Linked DNA regions of Schizosaccharomyces pombe. Changing the gene in region 1 together with any one later gene gives a genetic interaction. Each region holds a gene or a part of one and is shown in the gene's direction. Other genes may lie near its edges.

Region 1 (5,760 bases):
CAGTATTGTCCAGATACGAGTATTTGGAGGATAAGATCTGAGAGACGGAAGGCTGTGAAATATCTTTGCCAAACTTTTCACGGAACCATTCGATAAGATCTTGTTGACCGGAACGGTTTTGAAGTTGAAAAAAGTAGTGCCTAAGAGCGCGTTTTTCATGTTCTGTAATGGCTCTTCTTTTGATTTTTCCCATTACTCGATAGCTTTATTATTTCTAATGTCTTGAAGTGAAAATATAAGGATAGCAGAGCAAAGGTTTCTTGCCTTAATAAAACGACACTAACAGTCACGAGTTCGTAATATTATACTGAACAGCGTAACGTAATATCTAAGCTTAATATCTGTTAAGCGATGAAACAAACAGCGGTAAACAGTATAGTGAGTTTCATCTTCAAAAATCAACATATGGTCGTACCAGGTTTGGCTTTCCTAATTCATCTGGGCCAATTTTTTGCAGTGGTATAAAAAAATGAATTATTCCTGGTGCTATTTCATGGTTTCCAAATAAAAGTTTTTGGTCGACATAAACTGGATTACCAGTAAGAGTATTGTTAGTTTTGTATTTAGTATATTTGTGAAATTGCGTAAAATTGCTCAATAATAGTGCGATGAAGGAAAAATGGAACAAGGAATTAAAAAAAAAATAATTCCGCTCAGGGGACGAAGGGACTAAATTATGGAAAAAGTAGTAACAATTGATTATTGATGGGGTTACTATAAAATATTAAAAAAAAAGGTCAAACTCTATAAATGATGTATTTAAATTTATTTTTATTCTCTTTTTTTTTTTTTTTTTTTTTAATTTTTATATTCTTCAGTAAAAACTAATAATTTTTGCTAGGATTGCATTCAAGTCAATCTAAAAAAAAGCAATTTGTGTAGCAATTCACATATTTTTTTACAATTGACGGTATCATGAATTTTACTGTAACTTACTAACTGATAAATTTTCTTTATTTCGTGGATATATACTAGTCTACAGAACATGAACATATATGGAAGACAGTAGATGAACGAACATTCTACACTTACAAACGGACAGTTAGTTATCGCCTTGGAAATTCAACTTGCTAATAAAATTATATTAAATGATATGCATATTTAATTCCATTTTCCGAAATCATATTTTCTTCAAAAAATAGCATTCAAACGCCTCAAACTCATTATCACTCCATTCTTAATTGCCAACCTATATTACCAAATGCCGATGGTGCACATTGCCAGATAATCGGTTATTAGATCCGGGTCTAGAGAACGAAACCATTGCAGTTGTTAAAATAGCATATCTTCACAAGCCATTGTAAAATAAAAATATCAAGATATCAGATATTCATTAACGGTGTATCAAGAAATTTGAGCGCAGTTAACTTACAGAACCTCAAGTAGATAGGTATCGGTCGCATACCTTATCTTTCGTCCTAGTTCACTTGCGAATGTTCATACTACATGACGCCAGTCTAATTACTACTTATTCATCCCCGTTTGTAAATAACGACTCGGTAAATGCTACCTCGGTTAATTGGACTTTGTAAATGTTAACAGACTTAGCGCGACAAACCTTTGAGCGGCAGCATGGTATAGCAGAGGATGAAGTGAAAATTGGGTTGTTTTAATCAGAATTCAAAAAGTATGGTTTTCTATGTAGGATCCTGAAGAAAACTGCTTGGACTCCTTAGTGGCAGAGCAGATGACAATGAAAAAGAAAGTCTTTTTTTTTTTTTAATTTTCTTTTCGAATCCTTTCTTTCTCATTTATTTATTTATTTTTTTGATATGTCTTGTGCCCCACTAATTGAACGGCCACAGCAGTGTGACGAGGTAAATTAGATCGAAATAGTATACATTTTAAGGACCTGCTGATGAAGTAAATAAAAAGGGTTGATATCGTTAAATTGGTAAGTCACATGTTGGTTTCCGACATTGAGTTGAGAAGAATCATGTAAACATTACCAAATTCATTACCGAAACAATATGAATTAAATAAATAAATAAATAATATTTAGAGTTCAATCCAGCCGAATTGGCATTTTTTTACTTAGCAACTAACTGTCTCAAACGCACCCTGGCAGCAAAGGCGTGAAGGTAGAGAGCGTGTACAAATGCTAATGTTTTGTCGGCTTTTTACAGCGCTTCGTTGCTATTTACAATGAATCCAGCGCGTTGTTTACGGTATAACGACGCGGTAAGCCACAATAAACGGTCGATTGCTACCTCTCGTCCAATCTACCTGGTAACCGCTACCTAAATGTAAACAAAACAGTACGCAAATCCAAGCAGTAAACAATAAAACCAGCCATTAGGTTAGCCAATTAAGGAGTCAAAAAGTGTCCATATTTGTCGATCATTGTTTACTTGGTAGTGATTGGTTGTCAAATTTTCTTTATCGTAGCATACTCTAGAGCGCTCCGTGAGTTGAGAAATTGGTATAAAAGATACTCATGCCCAGTTCCTTTGTTCCATTGTTTAATTCAAAGACGAAAGCTCTAATTTAGATATCCTTTCTTTTCTTTCTTTACCTTTTTCTTTCTTTTTATTTTTAGAAGTCGCTTGCATTTTCTATTTTACACACTTTCCTTTACATACAGCCCGATTATCTGTTTTCTTCGTTAACATTGTTATCGTGAGTTTCAGTTTTTCTTCCTTTTTTTTTTTTTGCTGTCTGTATCGATATCCTTTTTAAAAGGAACTTCTTTTTTTTGAATCGGCCAATCACTCTGTCCAATTGTACATTGCTATTTTGTGTGGAACTGTTTTTGTACTTCCTTTGTTCTTACATTGCGCGGTCCATAAAGGTGCTCATATATATACCCCTTTTCTTTATACCTATTCTCTCTTCTGCTTTGAAGAACACATAAATATATACACACTCACTTGCTTTTCTCTTAGAATTTGAGACGTGCTTTTGAATTGAACTAAACTGGTTTCTTAACAGTTTTTCGTTCTCTTATTCGTTCTTTATATCTATATTCTATCTCTTTATAATATCATTAAAATGCTCTCTTTTACATCGGTTTTTTCTTTTTTCTTGCATGCATTGCTTCTCAAGACAGCATTTTCCTATGTAATCAAGCGAAATAACCCCGTTTTTGACTATACCTCGGAAAAAGTCCGTGGTGTAAACATTGGTGGCTGGTTGGTGCTGGAAAATTGGATCACTCCACAATTGTTTACTCAATTTAGCAGTATGTCGAATCCTCCCACTGATGAATGGGGCTTTTGTGAGGTTCTTGGTGCAGATGAAGCTGCCTCTCAATTAGCTGCTCATTATAGCTCATTCTACACTGAATCTGATTTCGCTACTATAGCTTCTTGGGGTGTTAATGTTTTGCGTATTCCTATTGGGTATTGGGCCTTTAATGTGGTAGACGGCGAACCATATGTTCAAGGGCAAGAGTACTGGCTCGATCAAGCTCTTACTTGGGCTGAACAATATGGCCTTAAGGTTTGGATTGACTTGCATGGTGTTCCAGGCAGCCAAAATGGATTTGAAAACTCTGGTAAGACTGGTTCCATTGGATGGCAGCAAAATGACACTGTAACTCGTACTCTTGACATTATTACCTATGTTGCTAATAAGTATACCCAATCTCAATATGCCAGCGTGGTTATTGGAATTGAGACGGTAAATGAGCCTTTGGGCTATGGTCTGGATATGGATCAACTTAAGCAATACGATTTAGATGCCTATAATATCGTCAATCCTCTTTCCAGCTCTGTTGCTACTATCATTCACGATGCCTATGTTGATCTTTCTATTTGGGATTATGGTGTTGTATCTCCTTCTTCATACAATCTTGTTATGGATGTCCATCGTTATCAACTTTACGAGTCGGATGAGTGCTCAAAGACTCTCGATGATCATCTTTCAGATGTTTGCTCCATTGGTGATTCCATTGCTTCCTCTCCCTACATTACTGTTACTGGCGAATGGTCCGGAACTTTAGCAGACTGCACGATTTTCGAAGAAGGAGTTGACTCTTCGACATTTATTGGACCAAACAGCGGTGATATTTCCACTTGGACGGATGAATATAAGGGAGCTGTTCGTCTGTTTATCGAAACTCAGTTAGATCAATTTGAACGCGGTGCTGGTTGGATTTACTGGACTGCTAAAACTGGTGGACCAAGTCCTACTTGGGATATGGGATTACTTATTGAATACGGCGTATTCCCTCAACCTTTCACTGATAGACAATATAGCTCTTACTGCGGTTAAGCAAAGCCATATCAAAGTTAAAAAAAAATTTTATCTATTCTAGCTGTATAACACTAATTTATATCTCACACATCGTTGTCATGTCCTGTCCTTGCATTTATCATCTACTATCATTTAACGTGCTGCTATCTACTATCCATTCAGTCTTTGTTTGTTTGGCATTATCTTTAGACATTAGTTTTTAATATATATTGTTGTTTTCGAAATCTTTTAGTTATGTGATATTAATATTTTGGTAGCAAGTTCCTACTAAATTAATATTTAGCTTAATAGTTTACGTTCAATATTGCATATTTTTTCGAACTCTATATTAACAGTAGCTGTACTTTGGAGAAAGTTGACCGAGAAATCTTTTTAAAGTTGTCCAATTGAATTTTCAATTATCAAGTATCTTCAGTTTACTTATATGAAATGTATTTTCTGCTCTACTCTTATAAGTCAGTATTGAGCCACATAGACGGACCACTTTGAGTTAGTCTCGGAAAAGCAAATCGACAGAATAGGTTTTCACTCAGCCACAGGTGACATATGTTTAAAATACTTTTATAAAAATTACATTTAAATTGAGCGATTTCTTGGTAAAGTAATATTACACATTTTCTGATCTGATATAGGCTTTATACGCATTAAACGAAATAAGCTCATTAAGCATTCTTTAACGAACTCGCTTTTTTAATTTAATGAGATATCTAATTCACTAGTATGTATTCATTATGTTGTCCCTAACAAGATCAAAATTGTTACACTGTAAATGTAACGTAGTTTGTCGACTAATTTATACGAATAATAGCTTTCTTCTTGCCCAAATTAGTGAAATTTGTTAGACAATTTAAACAATTAAAATCATATACAGAATTAAATTGACTAATTCTATTTAATCGAGAGTAACTTAAGTATTGTTCGTCGAGCGTATATACCAGCTGCTACTTATTGCCCTTGTGGAGGAGGACATTACTGTAATTTACCGTGTTTTAGCACATTAAACCTTTTAAGGATGTCTGTTTAACTAACGGTTACGGATGTTTAAGGAGTAAAAAGTCGAGTCTGCAAAATAACTGTAACCTGACCTACTAGATGATCGAGCAATTGTTGAGTAGTTAGTATATAGTAATCACATATGCTCCCCAATGGAATATCAAAGAGCCATTGATTCTATTGAAGAATGTCTCAATAAACAGTTAAGACTGTCATCCGAAAAGGTTGACCAATATGTACTAATAGAAAACTGGACCTCATTAGTAGGCCACTTGAAAACCTTACACTCTTTAATATCAAATTACACAAATGGTAGAGAATTACAAAATGAAATTAGTTCTTTGCTGAAGCAGGATAAGGAACTGGATTTACAAATTCAAGACTGCATGAGAGAAATGACCTCAATTTATGATACCCATCTTCCAAAAACAGTGTCGGGGAGAAAACGACAAAAAGTTAATGCTGAAACACTCCTTGATTATGGTAGAAAACTTTCCAAGTTTTCCTCTGCACCTCCTGGGTACAATCCCGAGACGGGTCAAGATGCAAAAGCTCCTGTGCATTATCCTT
Region 2 (4,756 bases), 310 kb from region 1:
GGAACGAATAATGGAGTAAAGCGGACAGACAAGGAATGGTGAAAGAGGCCATTGAATTTAAAGTTAAGAAGCAATGCGTATTACCTTCCAATTAATAATGGACCATTTACTCTATAGAAACAGTTCTGATGAATGAGATAGTATATTTTTTGGCGCAGAAAAGTAGAAACGCTAATGCTTTCTATATGAAGACATTTCCAGCTCTTTCTCGTTTTTTAAAATCCTTCTTTCTCTCCTAGTTGCAAAATGAAGAAATAGAACGATCAGTATGCAACAGGATAAACCAACGGATAACCCAATTGCAAGTTTCTTGTCAATCGGGTTTACAGAAAATGCAGGGGAAACATCCACTACCATCTTCCAGTAAAACGTGTTCGCTAATAGGACCTGTGGACCCACATATACCGTGCTGGCGGTACCATTTTGAGGAACAGCAACAACTCGCGCAGTAATGTTGTCCATCTTCATAAGCCATTTCTTATCTATCTTTACCATCCAGTAAGTTTGGTTGGAAGGAATAACACCACTGCTCGTAATCAATGTGTTATTGGAGTCGGCATATTGCAAAGCAATTTCGACAAACTGTTCAGTGGGTTGTTTCCATTTGACAGCATAAGTAAATCCTCTAGCCCATCGAGAATCTTAAACAAAAGTCAGTTTTACAATACTAAAAATTAAATAAAAAACATACCTTCAGCAGGAGTGATGAACTCAAATTCAGCCCGAACAAGATTGATAAAAGTAAGGATTAAGAATAAAGCAGATCCTAGAAAGAATTTCATTTTGTGAACCCGAAGTTTTCTTTGTAGCTTAAAAAAAATAAAAAAACGGTCTTCTCTAACGTGAATCTTACAATGTCTTTAGCATAGACTCAGTGATACGGCAATTGTCTGCGGAAGATACATCAACAGCCAGGGACGGAAGTGTAAAATTAACTCGTACTCGTTAATGCGATATCATTGTATATATTCGAATGATACTGTTATCGTATTCAACAAAAAAAATTAGTAAATCCTTTTTAGAGTGGAAATATATGAGTTGAAAATGCTGTCATCAGAACCCAGATAACTTTACACTAATAAAATAAATTTCGGTTATTCGTTTGCCGTATCCGCATGGCTTAAAGTATAGAAAGAAAAAGCTATTTATAACAGTCTAGCATATAATTATGTTGGAAACGAACTGCAGTAGTAAGCAGTAAACAATAAACAAAAACCTTTAACAATGTACAAGAAATAAACAGAAAAAATAATAATATTAAATTAATTTAGTAAAGAATCAACCAAGTGTTGAAGAAATCTCAAAAATTGGTTATGACAGGTGTGCTGTTTATTGTTTACATACTAAAAAATTTTGATAAATTATGCTTTCGTTCTAAATAGGACTCTAAATGTTACCAGTTATAGAGCTAAAGTAAATTTTTTTATAAAGGAAATATATGTAATTTAAATTACTAGCTGGTCTAGTAATTTACTTTGACACTGTCTACCGTTTAATGATGATCATGGATTGAAAATTTGTATAAACAAATTGGAGTGCTTCATTGGCATCATTTGTTTACATTTTCATTTGCTTTGGGCCGATATAGCAAAGCTTAGGGAACAAAAAGTAAGTTTTGCTTAGAGGGAAATATTTGGGTTTGGCGAAGTAAACAAACAAACAAACTATTAATGAAAATTGTGCCTCATCTAACAGCCCGCACTTTACCAAACAAAAGGCGACTAAAATAAAAATTAAAACAGGAAATGCTTTCCATGCTATTACCTTTCGGAAATTCAGGTGTATACGCCAGTGATGTAGATCGAGAAGATCGACCAGAAATTGCTAAATTGGTGCAAGCATTCCCTACCATTGAAGAAGACTATCATGTGGTTAAGTTAGTAGGAGCAGGAAGTTTTAGCAGCGTCTTTAAAGCGGTGGATAGACATTTCGATAGCTACGATAACTCCTACTGGATATCATCTCAAATAGAAGATCAGATGCCCCATGACAAAACCAAGAGACCAAAAAACCATTTTGTTGCATTGAAAAGAATTTATGCCACCGTTCTTCCCTCAAGAATCCAAACTGAACTTGAGATGCTACATGAACTACGAGGCAGTGATTGTGTACTAAATATGATAACTGCTGTAAGACATCAAGATCAAGTGTTAATTGTACTACCGTTTATACAACATGCAGAGTTCCGGGACTTCTATATGAAATATTCTCTTCCAGAAATTGGTGCGTACTTAAGAGACCTCTTGAAAGGGTTGGCACATATAGATGCAAAGGGCATAATTCATCGAGATATCAAACCAGGTAACTTTGCTTGGAATCCTTACACCCAAAGGGGAGTCATACTTGACTTTGGATTAGCTCAATGGCAAGAGGCAGATGCACCTACAGAAAATTGCTGTGTCGATAAATTGAGAAAACTGAAGCAAGAAGGAAAATATTACGATTATTTTCCATTTGAGAAAACGATAGCAGATCCTCCAGAGGGTTACTTGCTACATGATCCAAGGCCTACAAAACGTGCTGACCGAGCCGGAACAAGAGGATTTCGAGCGCCTGAGGTATTGTTTCGATGCCAAAATCAAACATCCTCAATTGATGTGTGGTCAGTGGGAGTCATTTTGTTGTGTTTTTTAACACATCGATATCCTTTTTTCCGCTGTGAAGATGATATCGATGCAATCGTAGAATTAGCACATATCTTTGGAAGAAATGGCATGTCAAACTGCGCATTATTACATGGTAAGTAGTTATTAAACACTTGAGCGTAAAAGTTGAAAAAACGAAGAGAGAAATCGTTTTCTAACCAATGCTTCAAATCTTTTTGAGACAACTTTTGAGGTGCTAACTTGTATTTCTCTCAGGACAAATTTGGTCAGATAACATTCCGACTCTACTAGATCAAAAGCATAATTGGCTAGACCTAATTGCTAGCATTACGAAGAATGATGAGAATTTAATTTTAGAGACAAGCTCAGATTATCAAGTGGCTTTAGCCATTGACTTGTTGGACAAGTTATTAGAATTACATCGTACGTGCAAATCCCAAAAACAAAATACTAGGAAGTGGACTAGGAGGAAAATTCTTAAATGACAAAAAAAAACGCGAACCGAAATGGCCTTTTTTTTATTGTTTCATTCATGGATTGTCTTCTTTTATGATGCTTTTTAGGTTTTTTAACGAAGCCTGGGGCTATCCACTCTGAAACTAGTATCTTGATTTCCAAACTCCAGTTGTATAAAACAACATGGCAGGAATTAATTAAAAATTGAATGGCTAACAATTATCTAGCATCGAAACGAGTAAAGGCCAAAACAGCTCTTCAGCACGAATTCTTTAATGCATGTGGGGTTACCCGGTCAGGATTTGAGGCAGAAAACCCTTTTCGAAGTGATTTCCCTTCAACTGTAGAGCAGTAGACGTGTATCTGCCAAAGATGGAGAAATTTCCACACGTCGGAATTCCATAATATCATTCAAAGTTTTATTTATTGTATCGATTAACTCTTAATAATAATGAATGTCAAAGATAAAGATATTTGAAGTTGCGTGCGTTGCAAACATCTCAAAAACCAAAGCACGTGAGAAAAGCGAATGTGTAACGGTCAAATACTAAGTACAGTAAAAGGTTAACCAAATGAGCAGACTAAATACGAAATGTTTAGATAGGATGAGATGTCTCTGACAAACATTAACCTACTTTAATCGTTACAATGCCTGTAGCGTCAAGTCATTATAGTGGAATCAGCCAACAGATGTGTCAACGTCGTCGAATAAAGTACATAAGAAACAAATCAGCAATTAAAAGTACAATAACCTTAAACTAAGAAAAAGCCGAATTCAAAATAAGCCAATTTCCTTTCTTCATAATGATAAAAGATATTTTCCAAAATGTAAACAAAAGATCGCCGAGAAGTTTCGATCATGAAAAAAGTCAAACAGTCACGTACTCCATTATCCATCTCTTTCAAACTCTTACTGACGTGGGCCATTGCGTGAGTGAAATCACTAAACAGATGATTGCGTATTGTTTACAACGTCACTAAGTGTTGATTGCGCACCGGCTTTCTAATGTGTTATTGTAAATAACGATGTTTTGTTTTTCCAGTATACTCTTTAGCGATAATGTTATGAGAATAGTATGTACACTGACTATCATATTAAAGAGGTAGGTATTGACACCTCTTAAGCTACATGTGTAAAGAGATTGATTTGTGAGCGTATCAAAGGAAAAAATGAAGTGTAATACTGAATAAAAACTACTCCTTTATTTATCTTCCAAGAGATTGAATATATAGGGGAAACATTTTTTTCTTAACTTCACACTAAACCATCTCTAAACAAAAGTCGGGCACCAGAGAGAGTAATGAAGTAGTGTAGGACAAAAGGTGCTATCGTGCGTTAATTATTTTACTGTAAGGATTTAACACACGGTAAACAAACATATCGCCTGATGTCATTATTCGCTTCCCATAGTAATGATGTAAATATGTTATGACGCTGTTAGAGACTTACGTTTAGACATATTGATGGAAAATGCATTTATTCCACCCAAATCTAATACTATAAAAGGACTTCCTTTCCCAACCTAGTTGAGCATCGTTTCACACAAAAATAAGAATTGTTTGTTTGTATTTGGATAATTCTATAGTTTGTTCTCTCTTTTCACAAGACTATTAAATTTTATTTTTTTGCATTGTCCAACCGTCTATTAATATATTTATCAATACTTCCAAAATGTCTAGCTCTAAGGCCAACC

The links. Genes that interact genetically often act in the same process or in processes that back each other up.
Region 2: mutations in exg1 (region 1) and spo4 together harm fitness more than expected from each alone (negative genetic interaction), as found in Schizosaccharomyces pombe (one large-scale study listed by BioGRID).

What each region holds. Positions count from the first base shown.
Region 1 is NC_003423.3:3,512,147-3,517,906, forward strand, and holds exg1 (cell wall glucan 1,6-beta-glucosidase Exg1), read left to right. Parts: upstream 1-2,457; 5' UTR 2,458-2,991; coding exon 2,992-4,215; 3' UTR 4,216-4,421; downstream 4,422-5,760. Other genes in the region: ARS-binding protein Cbp1, read right to left, coding at 1-193; pmc4 (mediator complex subunit Med4), read left to right, coding at 5,343-5,760. UniProt on the Schizosaccharomyces pombe protein: Beta-glucanases participate in the metabolism of beta-glucan, the main structural component of the cell wall. It could also function biosynthetically as a transglycosylase.
Region 2 is NC_003423.3:3,825,433-3,830,188, forward strand, and holds spo4 (serine/threonine protein kinase (DDK family) Spo4), read left to right. Parts: upstream 1-1,745; coding exon 1,746-2,739; exon of another isoform or gene 2,740-2,861; coding exon 2,862-3,029; exon of another isoform or gene 3,030-3,289; coding exon 3,290-3,417; 3' UTR 3,418-3,528; downstream 3,529-4,756. Other genes in the region: protein psg1, read right to left, coding at 172-641, 692-782; SBDS family protein Rtc3, read left to right, coding at 4,735-4,756. UniProt on the Schizosaccharomyces pombe protein: Required for the initiation of meiosis II and progression through anaphase II.